3 linked regions of the Anolis sagrei genome follow. The protein of the gene in region 2 purifies or fractionates together with the protein of the main gene of each other region. This does not show direct contact. Links are inferred from orthologs where the notes say so. Each region holds a gene or a part of one and is shown on either strand. Other genes may lie near its edges.

Evidence for each region. The genes of interacting proteins can lie anywhere in the genome.
Region 1: the proteins of TNKS1BP1 (region 2) and CNOT6 purify together in Homo sapiens (affinity purification with mass spectrometry; 3 studies listed by BioGRID and IntAct, with this or other methods). This does not show direct contact. The link is inferred for Anolis sagrei from reciprocal best matches to the Homo sapiens genes TNKS1BP1 and CNOT6.
Region 3: the proteins of TNKS1BP1 (region 2) and CNOT11 purify together in Homo sapiens (affinity purification with mass spectrometry; 5 studies listed by BioGRID and IntAct, counting the BioPlex papers as one, with this or other methods). This does not show direct contact. The link is inferred for Anolis sagrei from reciprocal best matches to the Homo sapiens genes TNKS1BP1 and CNOT11.

What each region holds. Positions count from the first base shown.
Region 1 is NC_090022.1:87,485,032-87,492,544, forward strand, and holds the start of CNOT6 (CCR4-NOT transcription complex subunit 6), read right to left. Parts: upstream 3,070-7,513; 5' UTR 2,970-3,069; intron 2,212-2,969; exon of another isoform or gene 2,094-2,211; intron 1-2,093. UniProt on the Homo sapiens protein: Poly(A) nuclease with 3'-5' RNase activity.
Region 2 is NC_090021.1:233,714,169-233,721,423, forward strand, and holds the start of TNKS1BP1 (182 kDa tankyrase-1-binding protein), read right to left. Parts: upstream 3,014-7,255; 5' UTR 2,636-3,013; coding exon 2,549-2,635; intron 2,508-2,548; exon of another isoform or gene 2,404-2,507; intron 2,271-2,403; coding exon 2,129-2,270; intron 1-2,128.
Region 3 is NC_090023.1:103,549,702-103,556,849, reverse strand, and holds the start of CNOT11 (CCR4-NOT transcription complex subunit 11), read right to left. Parts: upstream 3,070-7,148; 5' UTR 2,742-3,069; coding exon 2,291-2,741; intron 1-2,290. UniProt on the Homo sapiens protein: Component of the CCR4-NOT complex which is one of the major cellular mRNA deadenylases and is linked to various cellular processes including bulk mRNA degradation, miRNA-mediated repression, translational repression during translational initiation and general transcription regulation.

The sequences.
Region 1 (7,513 bases), on a different chromosome or scaffold from region 2:
TACATGATGATATAAGTAGGGTGGCCTTTTGCAGCTGACAGATGATAATTTTGTCAGCGCCTATTGTTTTTAAGTGCAGGCCAAGCTCTTTACGCACTGCACCCAGTGTGCCGATCACCACTGGGACCTCCTTTACTGGCTTGGGCCAGAGTCTTTGCAGTTCGATATTTAAATCCTCATTTTATTATTATTTAATACATAACAAGATAAGTACACAGCACAAGATCAGTATGCTGGCTTTTGTATTTGATCACACGTCAGACACTTCCCAAGTGTCTAGGACTGTGTGATGTATTGGCGAATAATGTGTGCATTATTATTATTATTATTTTACTGACACAATAACACAGTATGTCACAGCAAATGAAATCTATATGCTGGATTTCGTATCACAAATCACAAGTTGAATGCTTCCTAAGCGTCTAGGACTTTGTGATGTATTTTCAAATGATGCGCGCAGATCCAAGTAAGGTGGCCTTTTGCAGTTGAGAGATTGCGATTTTGTCAATGTTTATTGTCAATTATTATTATTATATTTTACTGACACAAAATCACAGTGTGTCACAGCAAACAAGAGCTATATGCCGGATTATTATTATTATTAGCTGTCCCCTGCTACGCGTTGCCGTGACCCAGTCTGTCTATATGTGTTTTGTGTGTATGTGTGTGTGTATGTTTGTGCATATGTATGTTTGCATATATATGTGTGGTTTTATGCGTGCGTTGTAATGTATTTTTGTTTTGTTTTTTTGGCTTTTTAAGTCTCTTCTGCTGCGTTTTTCAGTGTTTTATATGTGATGCTCACTTGTTGTCCTGATAGGTGACTTGCATCCAAATTTGGTGTCAATTCGCCCAGTGGTTTTTGAGTTATGTTAATCCCACAAACTAACATTACATTGGGTTGTTGTAGGTTTTTCCAGGCTATATGGCCATGTTCTAGAGGCATTTTCTCCTGACGTTTCGCCTGCATCTATGGCAAGCATCCTCAGAGGTAGTGAGGTCTGTTGGAAGTAGGAAAATGGGTTTATATATCTGTGGAATGACCAGGGTGAGACAAAGAACTTTTGTCTGCTGGAACTAGGTGTGAATGTTTCAACTGACCACCTTGATTAGCATTTAATGGCTTGGAAGTGTCTGGGAGGAATCTTTTGTTGAGAGTGATTTGATGTGCCTGATTACATTTTTATTTATATATATTATTATTATGCTAAGCTGCTTTGAGTTCCCTTGGAATCTTTTGTTGAGAGTGATTTGATGTGCCTGATTACATTTTTATTTATATATATTATTATTATTATGCTAAGCTGCTTTGAGTCCCCTTCTGGGGAGATAAAGCAGGGTATAAATATAATAAAGAATACCTTTTATTGATAACTCACATTAAAACACACACATAACTTCAATAAACATAGCTGATTAAGAATTTTTTGAGAACCTTGAAACTTAGAATCATAGAATCAAAGAGTTGGAAGAGACCTCATGGGCCATCCAGTCCAACCCCCTATAAGCATATTGTAAGCATATACTTACAATATATATGCTATAAAGTCTCCCCTTTATTCTGAATGGCTAGCAAAGCTTTAGCAGCTTAATGCTATCCTTTATGCAAAAACATACCGAACAGACTTGCTTTTGTACCTAGCCCGCAGAGCTCTGCCTCCTAATCCTCCTGTTTACCCCTATCTGTGCGTGTCCCCCAGCCTCTGTGGCCCAGCCACCTACCTGCACGGCATACATCCCTGCCCCCTATCTCCTTTTCCATTGGCCAGCAGGGCTGCCAATCACCCCCTCAGCTAACGCTCTTGCCTTTCTATTTCAGACACAGGCTGCCTATTGTGGCTGGGCCTGCGAGCAGCAGCAGCAGCCTAGGCTAAGCTTGACTCCCATCACGAAATACAGGTTTTTTGTTTTCCCACGGAGGAAGCAAGCAAGGAAGGAAGGAAGGGAGCAAGGGCTTTTGTGCAGAGCAATGACAACAAAGCTTACTGAAATCGAGGCAATGGGGGAGGAGGGAGGGAATGGGAGGGAAAGGAAGGGAAAAGAGAAGCAGCTGCCTGGCGCAAGTTTCCTTTCTTTTCCAGATGAGGCGATACCTGAGACCTCGGGCTTCCTTCGGAGGGGCTTCGGGGGAAAGGAGAGGCTCTGGGCTCCAGGGCGGGTGGGTCCGCAGGCTCCCAGGGCAGGGATCCGAGCCGGCCTGCCTGCCTGCCTTGCTCTTGCCTGCCTGCCTTCCGCCTCCTCGCCCCCTCTCCCGCCCCCCTCAAGCCCGGCTCTTGTCAACAAGCACTTAGGACCGAGGACGTCACTTCCTTCGGAGCCTCGCCGCGGCTTCCAGGAAGGCTCAGCCGCAGCTAGGCCCACGCGCCACTACCACAACACAACAACAACAACAAACGCCTATCAGGGCCTGGGCGAACTTGGGCCTTCCCTCCAGGTGTTTTGGACTACAACTCCCACAATTCCTCACGGCCTCAGGCCCTTTCCTTTGCCCCCTCAGCCGCTTAAGCGGCTTAAGCGGCTGAGGGGGCAAAGGAAAGGGCCTGAGGCCGTGAGGAATTGTGGGAGTTGTAGTCCAAAACACCTGCAGGAAGGCCCAAGTTCGCCCAGGCCCTGATATATATGTGTGTGTGAGCTCCTCTTCGTAGGCCCAATGGCCTTCACCCTAACAGAAGCGGGCCTTTTGTGCCAAGAAAGCAACCAAGCCACCCTGAGGCCTGGCTCAGGCTTCTCCATCTTGCCGCCTGACTGGTTTAGGTTCTCCTTTCTTCCTTCCCTGAGAAGGAGGTGACGCCCACGCTCTCGTTTCCCCCTCAGGGGCGCTTCATCTCCCTCAGGGCCTCCTCAGAGGCGCCCCCGTCCTCCTCCTCGTCCTCCGACCAACCGTCCCTCAGAGAGGAGAGAGCTTTTTCTCATCTCCCCTAGTTCCTGCTCCCTCCATCCGCCCCCTTCTCGTCCTCCTCGCTCCGTACCTGTGGCTGCCGCATCCCCGTCTCGTCTCCGCTGCCTGCCTGGCTCTTTGTTTCCTGCCGCGGGCCGGACGGGAGAACAGGCTCCCCCCACCGCTGCTGCCGCCGCCTCCGCCTCCTCTTCTTCCTCCGCCTCCCGCTCATGGGAAGCAAATAAGCATCATGGCGGCGGTAGGCAGGCAGGCAGGCAGGCTTCAGGGTCCTCCGCCGAAGGAAGCGGTTGGGCCTGAAGATGGCGGCGTTTGGGGTCGCTGGGAGGTCCGGAGGAAAGGCCACGCGTGGTGAGTCCGGTAGGCTTCGGCCACAAAGCCAACCTTAAAAATTCTGGCATAGACACTGAGAGCTGGGAAGCCCTGGCCCTTGAGCGCTCCAGCTGGAGGTCAGCTGTGACCAGCAGTGCTGCAGAATTTAAAGAGGCACAAATGGAGGGTGAAAGACAGAAACGTTCCAAGAGGAGGATGCATCAAGCCAACCCCGACCAAGACTGCCTTCCACCTGGAAACCAATGCCCTCACTGAGGGAGAAGGTACAGGTCAAGAATAGGGCTCCACAGTCACAAGAATATTGATCCTGGAAGACTATCCTACTTGTCCAACGAGGGATTGCCTAAGTAAAGTAGGTAAGTAAGTATGACCTCTGGTAAAAGGGGCATGGATGCCGCCTGGCCCGTGGCTCAATGCTCTGGAGTTGCAGTTCGGTGAGGCACCGGCAGTGTTTGTCAAACTGCAACTCTCCGTTCTCCATAGCATTGAGTCATTTCGGTGAAAGTGACGCCATTCTACAGTGTGGCACAGGCCTGAGCAAACTTGGGCCCCTCCCGCCAGGTCTTTTGGACTCCCAATTTCCACAATCACTAACAGCCAGGCATGGGCAAACTTGGGCCTTTTTCCAGGTGTTTTGGACTTCAACTCCCATAATTCCATAGACTGTTAGGGATTGTGAGAATTGGAAGTCCAAAAGTCCGTAGCACTGAGTCATTTTGGTGAAAGTGGCGCCATTCTACAGTGTGGCACAGGCCTGAGCAAATTTGGGCCCTCCCACCAGGTCTTTTGGACTCCCATTTCCACAATCACTAACAGCCAGGCATGGGCAAACTTGGGCCTTTTTCCAGGTGTTTTGGACTTCACCCATAATTCCTAACAGCCACTGTTAGGGATTGTGGAAGCTGGGAGTCCAAAACACCTGGAAAAAGGCCCAAGTTTGTCCATGCCTGGTATAGAGAATAAGGGACCTTCCACACAGCCCTATAACCCAGAATATCAAGGCAAAAATCTCACAGTATCTATCTCCTTTGAACTGGGTTATCTGAGACCAATGCCACGCAGCTGTATAAAATCCCACATTTTCTGCTTTAAACTGGAATTTATGGCAGTGTGGATTCAGATAACCCAGTTCAAAGCAGATATTGTGGGATTTTCTCCCTCTGTGAACCATCCGGAGACTAAGATCTTCCAGGGAGGGCCTGCTCTGGGTCCTGTCACTGTTGAGATTGGTGGGGACAAGAGAGAGAGAGGGCCTTCTCAGTGATTGCCCCTCGGCTATGAAAATCTCTCCCTGGTGAGATTAGATCAGCCCCCTCCCTCCTGTCCTTCAGAAAGATGGTAAAAACTTGGCTGTGGGACCAGGCCTTTGGGGCAGTGCAGTAAGACAACAATAGGAAACTTTACCCTACTGTCTGATGCGAGAGGATTTGAAACATTTGCTTTTAAAGTGGAGATAATTATCTGATTTGAACTGGATTACATGGCAGTGAAGATTTATGGCCCTTTCACACTGCCCTTATCCCCGGATCTGATCTCAGATTATCTGCTTTAAACTGGAATATACGAGTCCCCGCTGCCAGGTATCCTGAGATAATCAGATAATCTGGGATCAGATCCTGGGATAAAGGGGCAGGATGGAAGGACCCCTATATAATCCAGTTCAAAGCAGACAATGTGGATTATATTGTAGTGTAGATCCAGCCTTAGTCTTAAAGGTACTACAAGAGCCCTTTGCAGACTCATTTTCCAGACTGACAGGGTTGTGCCTCCTGATTTGTTGGGTGGGTGGAGTAGGGGGGAGGTTACAAGCATCTTTTGGAATGCATCTATTCGATATTATGGAAATAATGCAGTTTGACACTGCTTTAACTGTCATGGATGATGCTATGGAATCCAGGGAGCTGTTGTTTGGTGAAGCCCCAGATTCTTTGGCAGAAAAGGCCAAAGCACTTGTAAAACTAAATCTCCCATGATTCTATAGCCTTCACCTATGGCATAGTATTCACCTATGGAGCCCCCGGTGGCACCGTGGGTTAAACCCTTGTCAGCTTCAGCTTCTCATGCGGGGACATGAGAGAAGCCTCCCATTGGATGGTAAAACATCCGGGTGTCCCCTGGGCAACAGCCTTGCAGATGGCCAGTTCTCACACCAGAAGCTACTTGCAGTTTCTCAAGTCACTCCCCACACACACAAAAAAACACCTATGGCGGTTAAAATGGTGTCAAACTGCATTAATTTTACACTGCAGGTGCATCTTTATTCTGCCTAAAGGCCCAGGCTGTGACTTATAAATTAATGCACCTGGAGTGGGAGAAGAATCAGTGGGAATTGCTTCAGAGTAGATGTGTGTATGATCAGGTAGTGGTGAAACTGGCAGTAGGCTCCTCCAGGACCAATGGATTTACTTCCATGCAAGTGTGGATAGGATACAGAGGTCTACTCTTGGAAGGTGTGGGTGGTTCCTGGGAAGGGTTGGAGAAAAAAAAGGAGTGATTAGCAAGCCATGGAGATCTGACAATTGCAGTGGGCTCTTACTATCTCTGGGGTTTTATTTCAGAACCTCCATGTATACCAAAATCTGGATATGGAAGCCTCATAATATACTTAGTAAAACAATGTCCCTTATATAAAATGGTAAAATCAAGGTTTGCTTTTTGGAATTAAAAAATAATTTAGCCTCTCTTTGAGGTTGCCTGTTGAAAATTGATGGCAATGCATTAGTGTTAAATAATTCTGTCAGACATTGGGCAGTTTCATTTAAATAGAACAGCTCTATTGATATGATACATAAATCGACAAGGGTAGGATAATGCTGTATGAAATGGTTAAGCTGAGACTGCAGTCCTTGAAAAACTTAGCCCTAGTGGCACTCCCCAGCTGAAGAAGAAAAGGTGGCCTTGTGTGTTATATGTCGTACCTATGTTGTCATTTGCTAACCTCCGCATTAAGGATTAAATCACTTTGAACTCATTAGGATTTGAATCTGAGTAAATAGGTCAAAAACAGACTGAAAACCTTGCTAGGTGAGTCTTTATGCAATTTAAAGGTAGAGACTGAAGGAAAGGATTGACTTGAATACGATTTGAGGGGAAATGAATAGGCCTGCCTATTCAAGGGCTTGATATTGAGGATTATACTTGTGTGGAAGTCGTTTCTATTAAAAATACAGGGTGTGGGCTGTGCTGAGAAAGATCACTAGAAATATAGGTTAGTGGGTGGCAGAGCTGTCAGGTTAAAAAGGCTCACTTATTGGGAACTGGGTGTTTAAGTCCTGTTCACCACATTTAATTCTGATTAGGATATTTTAATGCTGGATATTTGGACAATCACAGATAAATCATTTTGGACACTAAAATGCAGTTTATAAGGCAAAGTTGATTGTATGTATATACATAGTTTATTATAAGACAGGTGTCAGGTTACTGTACTGCTATTAAGGGATGGCTTGGCTGTTATGGCTCAGGTCCCTGGTATGTAACCTACTCCCAATCATATTCAAGACTACAGTAGAATCAACAGACAGGTTGTTTACACATTTTAGTTTATGTAGTTTATGCTTTTTTAACACAATACAAACAACACATAATTATCAGCATTGCCAAGAATATGTACAGTCTCAGTATTCTTTGCATTATACAACAAGGAATTTGGGAGTTAACATACAGTGAATCTATGCAATCCTACCAATAGATTTTTAAGCTGTTTGTCACATTGAACCACTTATTCAGAGTGTGGATAGTAAGACATTTTCTAGCTGGATCCTGTATATGAGAGCAGCATAAAGGTTCTTTAGCGTGTAGAGTGTGTGCTGTAAATAGTGTAATGCAAGATCATGTTTTTTATCTTTGCTTATAAACCTGCTTTGCTGCTTATAGCTGTCATCAATATCCTAATGAGGCAAACATTTTGAACAGATGGACAGTGACAAGTATTAGTTTTCTGGTCTGGATACTTAATGGGAACAAAGATTGTAACACGAGGTGCTTCTCATTTTGCACACCTTAACATGGTAAGTACATTGTTATGTAAGCTTATTAATGTCCTTTTTCTTAAAAAAAATCAATCCTTTATTTGACTTGCCTGTTAACAAACATTTCTGTCTCTATGAACATTTCAGATTGGCAGGCTTTGATGCTGAACTTTATATTGAGAATGATTTATCTGATCAAAATGATTTGTCTCTAGTTTCACTGTCTAATGTGTATGCGAGGGGAATAATGCAGCCCTTTCATTGTGGTTGGATTGTAAATATGAACATAGTCTGTCTGAGTGTGATTTCCATA
Region 2 (7,255 bases):
CAGCTGTGGTTTCTTCTCAGGTTAGACCACCTTGTGTTAGGCACCACTAAGTATAAAAGCACCCATTGTTTCTCTCCATTAGATTATTACAACCAGCATTAAACAGAAATGGGGTAGAAGCTGATTAGAGCTGGGCATATTTTGCTATCATCCCTATTACAGCAAAATCTAAAACCTCATTTCTATTATGTTTCTCATAAAGCCACTGTGAAAGTTCTATACACTTGTTAATTCAGGGAAAGGTACAGCTATGGGGATGTTAATCACTATGATAAGGTAATGAACACTTCCTCAATGCATCAAAATTCAGATACATGGCTACCCAATGCATCAAAATTCAGATACATGGCTACCCATGATAGGCTTCAGTTATTTGTGTATAACTGGAGCATGACTAAGAATAAAATTTCACAGAGCTGGACTGGTGGGCAGTGAAACTAAGAGCACTCTTCGATAGTTCATTTGTAAGTAAAAAAAAAAACAATTAGACCTCAGAAACATTTAGTGTAGCACTGCTCCTCTGTAAATCTATAATCTCACAGTGCTATCAGCACAAAGAAAAATTAAAGATGATATGTAACGTTGGACACAAGCTAGACTGGATGAGCCTCTAAATTACTACTAATACCACCTGTGAAGTCCCTCAGGACTGCATATAAACTGTAATATCTTTAAGGTAAGAAGAATCATATGACACAGCTCTTGGAGGGGGGGGGAGCTCCACTGCAAACAGCAGTTGATGAATATACGTTTGAACCATATTAAAAAAGAAGACAAAGAAAAAAATCCTCCTCATGCATATAAAAGTAAGAGCCTACAGCACTCCAATTAAGCATGAACGATATCATGTAATCTAAAAACAAAAACAACTGGTTCTCAACTCTCAGATGACCCATCACCCCTAAACAGGAAAATCCAGAGCCTCTATAAATTTGATAAAACAATGCATGATTTAATGACAATTGACGCATCTACACTGTCAAATTAATGCAGCTTGACATCACTTTAAATTGCCATGGCTCAATGATATGGAATCTTAAGATGTGTAGTCTGGTGAGGCACCAGCCCTTTTGGGCAGAAAATGATAGATATTATTATTATTATTATTATTATTATTATTATTATTATTTCTTGAGGCTCGTGTGGGGCACAACACAGTTAAAAACACATAATTGTAAAACATTATGCAAAATATTGTCGAAGCCTTTCATGGCCAGAATCACTGGGTTGTTGTAGGGTTTTCTGGGCTATATGGCCATGTTCTAGAGGCATTCTCTCCTGACGTTTCACCTGCATCTATGGCAAGCATTCTCAGAGGTTATGAAGTCTGACCTCATAACCTCTGAGGATGCTTGCCATAGGTGCAGGCAAAACATCAGGAGAGAATGCCTCTAGAACATGGCCATATAGCCTGAAAAAACCTACAACAACCCATTATGCTAAATACATCTATTAAAATGTATTTCTATGAAATACATATATTAAAAATCACAGAACAACAATTAAAACAGCAAACACAAGACATGAGTAGAAAATTCAGTTTAGAATTGACTGGGTAGCTGTATAAGAAGAGATTGGTCTAATTTAGTTGTCGGATTTCTTCTCGCAGGTCATTCTAGAGACCTGGGGCAGCTGATGTAAAGGTCCTCTGAGTGACAGTCAAGTTCTGTCTGGTAGGAGTAGCAGCCCCCAGAGGACCTAAGTGTGCAGGGTGTATTGTATGGGAGAAGGTGATCCTGTATGTAACCTGGACCTAAGCCATGTAGGGTTTTAAAGTTCAAAACCAACAGTTTGTACTTTGCCTGGGGCAACCAGAAGCGTGACTATAGTATAGATGTAATACGTTCACTCCTGGGTGTTCCTGTAACTAGTCTGGCTGCTGTGTTTTGAACAAAGGGAAGTTTCCAAACTTGGTGCATAAGTAGCCCAATGTAAAATGCATTGCAGAAGTTCAAGCTTGAGATTACCACCTCGTACACTATCAATTTTAGGTATGACTACAACACCAATGATTCCATAGCATGGAGCCTTGGCAGTTCTAATGGTGTCAAAACTGCATTAATTCTACAGTGTAGGTGTACCCAATGATACTGCTCCTCAAGCTAAAGGCTAAAATCACAGGACATACCTGTCTCTGGGTTGCCTGATGGTTGCTTGGGCCCCCCACGTCCATTGGCAGCAGTACAGGGAAGGAGGGAGGACAGCGGCTGGGGCTTAGGATCCATCACATCACCAAGCTGGGATTCAGAACTCCACATAAATGTCAGTCCCTAAAGCAGAAAAAGATGAGTTTAGACAACCTGTGGAAAAATATAAATCTGTAAACAGGTTAACAAGGTTTCCTATCTCTTAGGACACCAAAGCCCCCCCCCCCCCCCCCCAAGTTTGGTATAACCTTTCCACCTGGTTCCTTTTCCAGCATAAGCCTCCCTTTTTCTTTTTCTTTTCTTTCTTTCTTTCTTTCTTTCTTTCTTTCTTTTGTTTTGGTTGTTCCTTCCTTTCTAATCCCAACACATTCAGGAGATATATGGATTAAAGATGTCCTTACTAACTTAACTATAGGGATCCATGGGCTCTTTTGCACAGACGCAGAGTCGGTTTCATGGCAGGCCGCTCCCAGGGCAGGCTGGAACATGGATGAAGGGAGCGAGTCTCTTGCAAGCACCCAGGCCGTGACTCATGTTGAAGGATGGGAATGTGACACTCATAAAGCTGTTAGCTTTCTCTTGCTCTGCTCCACGCAGCACTGCCCCTGCTCCACCTCTGTCACACCCTGCCAGAGACACTGCTCCTTCTCATGCCAAATCTGTGCCTTGAACTCTTGTGCTGCCTCCTTTCCCCCTTCCTTTGTCACTTTGCCACAACACTCCCCTTTGGCTGCCTTGCAAGCCCGAATCTCCCTTCTCTTTCCAAGCCCTTGCTTCTCCACCCCTTCGAGCAACAGGAAGCGTTGCTGCTCGGTCCTCCGTCTCAGCTGTGTCTGCTCCCAACCCGGATATGCAGAGCAGCGAGTAAACATCTGGAGTACTTCCCCCTCCTCCCGATTTCTCAATTGCTTGGCACCGGCCCTGGAATTCAGTGAGGTAAAGCTGGGGCCTGCTCCCGTCGCTACGGCAACAGCCTCCCACTAGATTTCTAGAGAGGGCCAAACCCTGGCCAGGAGGAGGAACAGGGTTATGGGGAGGGTGCGTGCCAGAAGCCGTTCCAACTGGCTATTGCTCTGCTAGTTCAGCACTCAAGAACAGAAGTGAACCCGAGGATGAAAAGGAAAACTCTCCCGCCGTGTGACAAAAACGGCCTGAGACTGAAACACAGCCCAGAGAGTGTAAACAGCCCTGCTCCGTAGCTTGCATCTGAACACCAGGCCGAAGGAGGTGGAACCACACAGTCTCTCCCTTTTAAGGGAAATTTGAAAGCAGGCAGAATGCCTCTGAAGGAGAGAGAGAAAAAGGCAGAACAGACATTGTTGTTCTTGCCGCTCAGATACTTCATTTTTCTACAAGCCACAATGGATCCCAATTATTTTCATACTCCTCCAGAGCTGTTTGCCAAGCCTCTACCAGGGTCGCATCTTGTGTCTATTTATACTAGTCTATATATATCAAAATACTAAGGGTTTCACAGGCAAAGACATGGTAAATTATCCAGACAAAAGAATATTATTATTATTATTGACACAAAAACACAATATGGCACAGCAAACGAGATATAAATGCTGGATTTTGTATCACATTATTATTATTATTATTATTATTATTATTATTATTATTATTATTATTTTACTGACACAAAAACACAGTATGTCACAGCAAATGAAATATATATGCTGGATTTTGTATCACATTATTATTATTATTATTATTATTTTACTGACACAAAAACACAGTATGTCACAGCAAATGAGATATATATGCTGGATTTTGTATCACATTATTATTATTATTATTTTACTGACACAAAAACACAATATGATACAGCAAATGTGATATATATGCTGGATTTCGTATCATTATTATTATTATTACTAGCTTGGGGACCCGGCGTTGCCCGGGTTATTAGAGAAAGTGGGTAATGGCGGTTCTGTATGCCAAGTTTGGTCTTTATTGGTCTTTGGATAACGGCTGCATTATTTTTAGGAAGTGAGTGAAGGTACTTGAAGTCCCATCATCCATGGCCCATCCTCCTACAAACAGCAGCAGGATATAGAATGGGTCATGGGGGCTCTGTGTGCCAAGTTTGGTCTTTATCAGTCATTAGATGAGGGTGGCAGTGGTGTCAGTAAGTGAGTGAAGGTACTGCAAGTCCCATCATCCAAAGTCCATCCCCTTTCAAACTGCAGCAGGATGTAAAGTGGATCATGGGGGCTCTGTGTGCCAAGTTTGGTCTTGATTGGTCATTAGAAGAGGGTTACAGCAATCCTTGGAAGGGAGTGGAGGTACTTGAAGTCCCATCATCCATGGTCTGTCCTCCTCCAAACTGCAGCAGGATGTAGAGTGGGTCATTGGCGCTCCATGTGGCAAGTTTAGTCTTGATGAGTCATTGGCGAGGGTCTCAATGGTCTCAGGAAGTGAGTAAAGGTACTGCAAGTCCCATCATCCATCTCCAAAGTTTTCCAAACAACACCAGGACGTAACGTGGGTCATGAGAGGTCTATGTGGCAAGTTTGGTCTTGATCCGTCATTGGATGAGGTTTGCAGAGGTCTCAGAATGTGAGTGAAGGTACTGGAAGTTCCATCATCCATGGTCCACCCTTCTCCAAAACTGCAGCAGGATGTAGAGTGGGTCATGGGGGCTCTGTGTGCCAACGTTGGTCTTGATTGGTCATTAGATGAGTTTTGCAGCAGTCTTGGGTAGTGTAGGTACTTGAAGTCCCATCATCCATGGTCTGTCGTCCTCCAGACTGCTCCAGGATGTAGAGTGGGTCATTGAAGCTCCATGTGCCAAGTTTAGTCTTGATGAGTCATTGGCGAGGGTCTCAGTGGTCTCAGGAAGTGAGTGAAGTGGCTGCAAGTCCCATCATCCATTGTCAAATTCTTCCAAACCGCACCAGGATGTAGAGTGAGTTATGCGGGCTCTCCGTGTAAATTGTGGTCCTGATCCATCATCGTTGGCAGTTGTAATGGTCTTAGGAAGGGAGTGCAGGTATTGCAAGTCCCATCGTCCATGGTGCATCCTCCTTCAAACTGCACCTGCATGTAGAGTGTGTCATGGAGACTCAGTGTGCCAAGTTTGGTATTTATCGGTAATTGGATGAGGGTTGCAGTGGTCTGAAGAATTGAGCAATGGTACTGCAAGTCCCATAATCCACGGTCCATCCCCGGCCAAACCACACCAGGACGTACAGTGGGTCATGAGAGGTCTGTGTGCGAAGTTTAGTCCTGATCAGTCATTGGATGAGGTTAACAGAGGTCTCAGAATGTGAGTGGTGGTACTGCAAGTCCCATCATCCATGGTTCATCCTCCTCCAAACTGCAGTAGGATGTAGAGTGGGTGATGGGGGCTCTGTGTGCCTATTTCGGTCTGTATTGGGAGTGTTCTGACCCAGCCCCCTTTGGCCTTTCCTTTCCTCTCTTTGTCATCTCGGAATGTTGGATTTGAGGCTGGCCAATCAGAGACCATATGCAAATTTCCTTCTGTCATGCCCCGTTTCTGCCATGAACCCTCTTCTCCACCAGGGGCTCCTATTGAAGCTGTCCAATCAGAGACCATATGCAAATAGCACCACAGTGGCAGCCAATCAGAACGCTGCCACATACACTTCCGCCCTCCACAATTCCTCTGTCCTATACAAACAAACACTCTTCTTTATTATATACTAGCTTGGGGACCCGGCGCTGCCCGGGTTATTAGAGAAAGTGGGTAATGGTGGTTCTGTATGCCAAGTTTGGTCTTTATTGGTCTTTGGATAATGGCTGCATTATTTTCAGGAAGTGAGTGAAGGTACTTGAAGTCCCATCATCCATGGGCCATCCTCCTACAAACAGCAGCAGGATATAGAGTGGGTCATGGGGCTCTGTGTGCCAAGTTTGGTCTTTATCAGTCATTAGATGAGGGTAGCAGTGGTGGCAGTAAGTGAGTGAAGGTACTGCAAGTCCCATCATCCAAAGTCCATCCCCTTTCAAACTGCAGCAGGATGTAGAGTGGATCATGGGGGCTCTGTGTGCCAAGTGTGGTCTTGATTGGTCATTAGAAGAGGGTTGCAGCAATCTTTGGAAGGAAGTGGAGGTACTTGAAGTCCCATCATCCATGGTCTGTCCTCCTCCAAACTGCACCAGGATGTAGAGTGGGTCATTGGAGCTCCATGTGCCAAGTTTAGTCTTGATGAGTCATTGGCGAGGGTCTCAGTGGTCTCAGGAAGTGAGCAAAGGTACTGCAAGTCCCATCATCCATCTCCAAATTTTTCCAAACAACACCAGGACGTAAAGTGGGTCATGAGAGGTCTATGTGCCAAGTTTGGTCTTGATCCGTCATTGGATGAGGTTTGCAGAGGTCTCAGAATGTGAGTGAAGGTACTGGAAGTTCCATCATCCATGGTCCACCCTTCTCCAAAACTGCAGCAGGATGTAGAGTGGGTCATGGGGGCTCTGTGTGCCTATTTCGGTCTGTATTGGTCATTATATGAGTTTTGCAGCAGTCTTGGGTAGTGGAGGTACTTGAAGTCCCATCATCCATGGTCTGTCGTCCTCCAAACTGCTCCAGGATGTAGAGTGGGTCATTGATGCTCCATGTGCCAAGTTTAGTCTTGATGAGTCATTGGCGAGGGTCTCAGTGGCCTCAGGAAGTGAGTGAAGTGACTGCAAGTCCCATCATCCATTGTCAAATTCTTCCAAACCGCACCAGGATGTAGAGTGAGTTATGCAGGCTCTCTGTGTAAATTGTGGTCCTGATCCATCATCGTTGGCAGTTGTAATGGTCTTAGGAAGGGAGTGCAGGTATTGCAAGTTCCATCGTCCATGGTGCATCCTCCCTCAAACTGCACCTGGATGTAGAGTGCGTCATGGAGACTCAGTGTGCCAAGTTTGGTATTTATCGGTAATTGGATGAGGGTTGCAGTGGTCTGAAGAATTGAGCAATGGTACTGCAAGTCCCATAATCCACGGTCCATCTCGGCCAAACCACACCAGGACGTAAAGTGGGTCATGAGAGGTCTCTGTGTGAAATTTGGTCCTGATCAGTCATTGGATAAGGTTAACAGCGGTCTCAGAATGTGAGTGGTGGTACTGCAAGTCCCATCATCCATGGTTCATAGTCCTCC
Region 3 (7,148 bases), on a different chromosome or scaffold from region 2:
TTTATACACAAGATTGTAATAATCTTGTGCATGAAATAAAGCCTGTGTACATTGAACCACAAGAAAGCAAAGGCGTCTCTATCCCAACTACCCATGTGAATAATTTTGTATATTTCAGATTTCCAGATAAAGAACATATATAGTATGTATAACTTCTGAAAATATGATTGGAAATCTTTTTTTCTTTTCTCTACCTCTATTTTCTTTTGTTTTTTCTAGATATTTTTCAGTGTAATTTTAAAATCAATGAAGACAACAGCAGATAAAGCACTACTAGAGAAACCTTCTGTGAAGCACACTGCAACAACTATATTTAATTTTTCATTATTGTTATAGAGGTCTTTCAGTGTAGTGTTTAAAATCAATGGCAATAATATCAGTAGATAAAGCACTACCAGGGTAACCTTCTATGAAGGCAAACAGAACAATATCTATTTACTGAAAAGATGAAGATAAGTCATCTGATTTTTTTCCCTTTTTCCTTATTTTTCTCTTTTTTCCCTTTCCTTTTCCAGATAACTTTCAGTGTAATGTTAAAATCAATAACAATATCAATAGTGACACCACTATCAAAGAAGTCTTCTGTGAAGGCACACACTGTCAAATTAAAACTGCTGAAAAGACAATAGAAATAATCTTTTTTCTTTCTGTATTTCTTTTTAAAAATGTTAAGATACATTTAAGTGTAAAGTTAAAATCAATGATAATTTTAAAAGTGTCTAGAGCGACTTGAGAAACTGCAAGTCGCTTCTGGTGCGAAATAATTGGTTGTCTGCAAGGATGTTGCCCAGGGGACGCCTGGATGTTTTACCACCCTATGGGTGGCTTATCTCATGTCCCCGCATGGAAAGCTGGAGCTGACAGGAAAGAGCTCACCCTGCTTCCCCAGATTCGAACTGCCAACATTTCAGTCAGCAGTCCTGCCAACACAAGGGTTTAACTCATTGTGCCACAGGGGCTCCACAACAAAATTAGCATCACTAGATAAAGCATGACTGAAAAAACATGTGAAGGCACACAGCAGCAATATCTCATTGCTGACAAGATGACAGTAATAATCTTATTGTTCTCCTTCTTTCCCTTTTTCTTTCTATTTCTCCTTTTACATTTTACTTTATTTTTTTCTAGATATCTTTCAGAATAATATTAAAATCAATAATTCAGCAATACATACTAGAGAGACCTTTTGCGAAGGCACAGACATCAAGATTTAACTGGTGACAAGACAATGCAAAGTATTTATTTATTTATCGTGTCAGAAGCGAACCAAGGTTACAGTTGTAATGTATTTAAAAAACGCAAACAAAGTTAAAAACTTGGCATTATACTAAATGTCCTTTGACCAGTAGCTGGCCACTTTGAGTGCCTTTTATTTTCCACCCCACTTTTTTCTAGTTCTCTTTTTCTCATACTTATATATCTTTCAATATAATGTCCTTTTTCCTTCCTTAAGCTCTGAGAGGGGGGGGGGAGGTAGTTTAACCCCCCTAACATTGGTCATGATTGGTATATATGAGCCAGCTTTCTCCAGACCTATTGTGGGTGGGATTCACATGCTTCTTCAGATGTGACTGGACTACAACTCTCATCTTGCTGTATCAACCCCGCCCCCAGAGATGCAATCGGTGAAACCCAGGACTGCTGACCAAAAGGTCGGCGGTTTGAATATTGGAGGTAGGGTGAGTTCCCATCTGTCAACTCTAACTTCCCATGCAGAGACATGAGAGAAGTAACACATCTGGATGTCCCCTGGGGGCAACATCCTTATAGACGGCCAATTCTCTCACACCAGAAGCAATTTGCAGTTTCTCAAGTCGCTCCTGAAACGATAAAAAAGCTAAACAAGAAAACAACCCACAAGTATTTTAATTTGGATCACGAGGGATATGTGTGCCAAGTTTGGATCCATCACGCAATATAGGAGCACGTGTGGTTCAAACAAACAAACATCCATACCTAGCTGAGGCCTGTACCCTCCAGGTGCTTGGGCCTCCAACTCCCAGTTGGTCCAATGGTGCAGAATTCTGGGAGTTGGGAGGCCAGATCAGCTAGAGCAGGCCTGGGCCAACCTGGGCCCTCCAGACGTTTTGGACCCCCAACTCCCACCATTCCTAACAGCCTCAGGCCCTTTCCTTTTCCCACTCTGCCGCTGCGGCTGAGGGGGAAAAGGAAAGGGCCTGAGGCTGTTAGGAATGGTGGGAGTTGGGGTCCAAAACGTCTGGAGGGCCCAGGTTGGCCCAGGCCTGGGTTAGAGGGCCACAGGTTGTGCAGACCTGAATGGGTGGCTTACCTGAGAGCGGGGGCTTCTCGCCGTCGTCGCCGGCGCCTCCACCCCCCGCTCCGGCCGGGCCTGGCCCAGCTGAGCCGGATCCCGCGGATCCCGGGGCGGCGCTGGCGTTGGGCTGGGCGGCGGTGGCGGGGGGCGCTCCGGGGGCGGCGCTGGCGCGCTCGGGCGGCGCGGGGTTGAGGAGGTGGGCGAAGATGGCGGCGAAGGGGTTGGCGGCGAGGGGCTCGGTGCGGTACATCTCCCAGAGTAGGTAGAGGGCGGTGAGGCGCTGCGGCGGCGTGGGCAGCAGGTCGGGCTGCTGGAGGAGCAGCACTAGCACGGAGCCCACGCGGAAGTGCTCGGCCTTGCCGAAGTAGTGGTGGAAGGCCGTGGAGAGGCCCTCGAAACTGCCCCCGCCCGCCTCCTCCGAGACGATGCTCAGCAGGCTCGACAGCTCCTTCGGCGAGAGGCTCATCTTCTCCTCAGGGCAGGGCGGCTCCAGTCCGAAGGAAAGGCCGCCGCGGGCGAGAAGGCCGCGGCCGGGGACCGAACCCGCCGCCTCTGGGGCTCAGCCGCCCTCAGAACAACTCGCACGGGCCCCGCCCCCGGGCATCCAGCCTCGACCCACCCCCTCTCCCTCTCCCTCTCTTTCTCCTCACGGCCTCTTCCTCTCCCCTCTTCCTCCTTGCGCGCGCTCTATTGTTCAGCCTCTCACCTTCCTGCCGTAAAGCTACCCCCCACCGCGCGTTTTCAACACTGTCGCAAAATTAAAGGCAGAGGAGCGGGAAACTGGCCCGAGGGCGGGACGGAGGGAGGGAGGAACTATCATTCTCTCTCTCCATGGGCCAGATTGATTTTCGCCGAGCCTTGCCCATCTGATTGGTTCTTCCCAGCTCGGATACTTGAGGGAAAGACTGGATTGGCTGCTCGAATTTGGAACGTCAGCAGGAGGAAAGGGATTGGCCGATTCCTTTTTCAGGCGGAGCGCTTTCATCAGATGACCCGAGACATGTGTCGCCTTACAACAACAAAACTTTATTTCTATACCGCTCTACCACCCCTAGGAGCTGTCTTCATAGACCTGTCAGCAGCTTATGATACTGTCAGTCACCGCCTCCTCCTTAGAAAAATGTATAATATCACAAAGGACGACCACCTCACCCGCCTCATAGGAAACCTGCTACAAAACAAGAGCTTTTTTGTTGAGTTCCAGGGCCAGAGAAGCAGATGGCGGAAACAGAAGAACGGCCTGCCTCAGGGGAGCATGCTCGCTCCATCCATGTTCAACATCTACACAAATGACCAGCCACTGCCAGAAGGGACAGAGAGTTTCATCTATGCTGACGATCATGCCATTACTGCTCAAGCAGGAAACTTTGAGATGGTTGAACAGAAGCTCTCCGATGCTCTAGATCAGGGGTCCTCAAACTTTTTAAACAAAGGGCCAGGTCACAGTCCTTCAACTGTTGGAGGGCCGGATTATAATTGGAAAAAAATAGAAATTCCTATGCACGCTGCACATATTTCATTTGTAGTGCAAAAAACACTTTAAAACAATACAATAATTAAAATGAAGAACAATTTTACCAAATACAAACTTATTAGTATTTCAATGGGAAGTGTGGGCCTGCTTTTGGCTGGAAAGGTAGGATTGTTGTTGTTGTTGTTGTGTGCTTTCAAGTAGTTTCAGACTTAGGTTGACCCTGAGCGAGGGCCTGATAAATTACTTTGGAGGGCTGTATCCGGCCCCTGGGCCTTAGTTTGAGGACCCCTGCTCTAGGTGCTCTTACTGCCCATTATGGGGAAAACCCACTGATCCCTAATCCATCTAAAACACATACATGTGCTTTTCACCTCAAGAACAGACAAGCATCCTGAGCTCTGAGGATTACTGGGAAGGAATCCCACTGGAGCATTGCAGCACACCCAAATACCTGGGAGTCACTCTGGACCATGCTCTGACCTACAAGAAGCACTGCCTGAATATCAAGCAAAAAGTGGGTGCTAGAAACAATATCATATGAAAGCTGACTGGCACAACCTGGGGATCACAACCGGACACAGTGAAGACATAGGCCCTTGCGTCATGCTACTCTGCTGCTGAGTATGCATGCCCAATGTGGAACACATCTCACCACACTAAAACAGTAGATGTGGCTCTTAATGAGACATGCCAGTGGTGTAGGAATGTCTGCGCCCTACACCATTGGAGAAATTACACTGTTTAGCCGGTATCGCACCACCTGACATCTGCTGGAAAGTAGCAACCAATAGTGAAAGGACCAAGGCAGTGACATCTCCGGCGCATCCTCTGTTTGGGTATCAGCCAGCACGCCAACAATTTAAATCAAGAAATAGTTTTCTAAGATTTACAGAGACACTCGCTGGAACACCTCAGCAAGCGAGAGTCCAAAAGTGGCAGGCTCAAACCCAGAACCTCAATCAATGGCTGAAACCAAATGAGAGACTCCCCCCTGGGCACACAGAAAACTGGGCGACATGGAAGGCGCTGAACAGACTGCGCTCTGGCACCACAAGATGCAGAGCCAACCTTAAGAAATAGGGCTACAAAGTAGAATCCACGACATGAGATTGTGGAGAAGAGCAAACCACAGACCACCTACTGCAATGCAGCCTGAGCCCTGCCACATGCGCAATGGAGGACCTTCTTGCAGCAACACCAGAGGCACTCCAAGTGGCCAGCTAGTGGTCAAAGGACATCTAATAGAATACCAAGTCTGCAAATTTTGTGTTTTGTTTGTTTGTTTGTCTGTTTTTTAATGCAATACAACTGGTTTGGTTCGCTCCTGACATTATAAATAAATAAACCCCGAGGGGACTCAGAGCGGTTTCCAAGTAACATCATCAATACATTCAAAGTAAACAACATAAAATTAACAAGACAATATAAGCATAAAAATCACAATAGCACATATATATTTAAAATAATCCTGCCTGTTCAAGGCAATTTAAAAGGCCAGGCCAAGGCTAGTGCAATTTGTAGAGGGCCCAGGAAATTAGGTAGAGTCTATGGCTGTTCATTTCCAGGGCCTAATAGGAGGAAGTAACCTGGGTACTTGGTAGAAAAAGATATGACCATATTCAACAGTATCTGGGGCTGAGCTAGAACTAGTCGTCCTCAAAGTCTTGTTTAAACCACCAGATCTTCAGGCTCTTATGAAAGGAGAGGAGGGATGGGGCCTGTCTTACTTCTCTAGGAAGGGCGTTCCAGAGGCGGGGGGGCCACCACCGAGAAGGCCCTCTCTCTCATTCCCACCAACCGTACTTGTGACGGGGTGGGAGCGAGAGGAGGGCCTCCTTGGAAGATTTTAAAGTTTGTGCCGGTTCATAGAGGGAGATGAGATCGTGAAGATCGGGGCCCAGTGTTTCTCAATCTGTGTGTCCCCAGATGTCTTGGCCTTCAACTCCCAGGATCCTAACAGCTGGTAAACTGGCTGCAATTTCAGGTAGCTGTAAGCAAAACACCTGGTGACCTACAGGTTGAGAACCACTGCCTTTAGAGCAAGCATGTTCTGCCAACATAGCAGTTTGAAAACATGCCAATGTGAGTAGATCAATAGGTACCACTCTGGCGGGAAGGTAACAGCGCTCCATGCAGTCATGCTGGCCACATGACCTTGGAGGTGTCTATGGACAACGACGGCTCTTCGGCTTAGAAATGGAGATGAGCACCAACCCCCAGAGTCAGACACAACTGGACTTAATGTCAGGGGAAAACCTTTACCTTTACCTTACCAAGAGCAAGCATGGGCAAACTTTGGCCCTCCAGGTGTTAGGAGTTGTGTGAGTTGAAGTCCAAAACAGCTAGAGGGCCAAAGTTTGCCCATGCCTGCTTTAGAGATTGGCATTCTCTTTTCCATACAGAAAGTCAGGGTTGAAGGATAATAACACTATGTAACACGAGTTTTGTTCCTAGGTTATAAATGTTGTTTCCTGTTTGGTTCTATCCTGGGGAAAAGGTAGCGTATACATTAATAAATATGGATGCTGCTTTCTCTTTTTCTTATGTTTTTTTCCTGCTTTTTAAAAACACTTTTCCAAGATGAGGAAACAAATTTAGAGGGGAATCGAAATAATTGCCCTAGGTTTATTTTATTACTTTAGTAACATTAAAAAGCTTCATTTATAACTTGCTTAGCATATTAAAATGGTACTGTTTGGTGTGTTCATGAAATTTAAAAGCCTTACGTTCATATAAGCAAAATTGTGAATTATTAAAGAGTTATAACTCTGTGCCACCTAAACAGATAATAATAATTTACTACATATAAGACATATAACCGGCCTGAGTCGCTCGTCGGAGGTGAGAATACCAGTATATAAAAGTTCTAAATAAATAAATAAATAAATATAAATACGTAAAAATAATTTTATATTTTAAATTTTAAAAATTAAACAATATTGTTTGATTTTAACCAGTTTTATCTGTGAGCCATCTTGAGTCGGATTTGCACGCATTATTCGCCAATACATCACACAGTCCTTGGGAAGTGTCTGGCATGTGATCAAATACAAAAGCCAGTGGAATGATCTTGTTTGCTGTGTACTAATCTTGTTATTAATCTAATGATGATGATGATGAATTTATTACCCGCCTCTCCTTGCGGCTTGAGTCAGGGTACACCATTATTACAACAAGAGATAAATCGCTATTAAAAGACATACAAGATACCCAGAGTTAAAATATAAATTAAATCCATTGATAAAATTTAGATTAAACTTCACAATTTAAAATTTACTGGGTAGGCCTACCAAAAGAGATGGGTCTTCAATTTGTCTTAAATTCCAATGTGCTCTGGATGTTGCCATCTAGAAAATAGGAAATTATAAAACAGAAACCACACGTTTTGTAAGATATAAA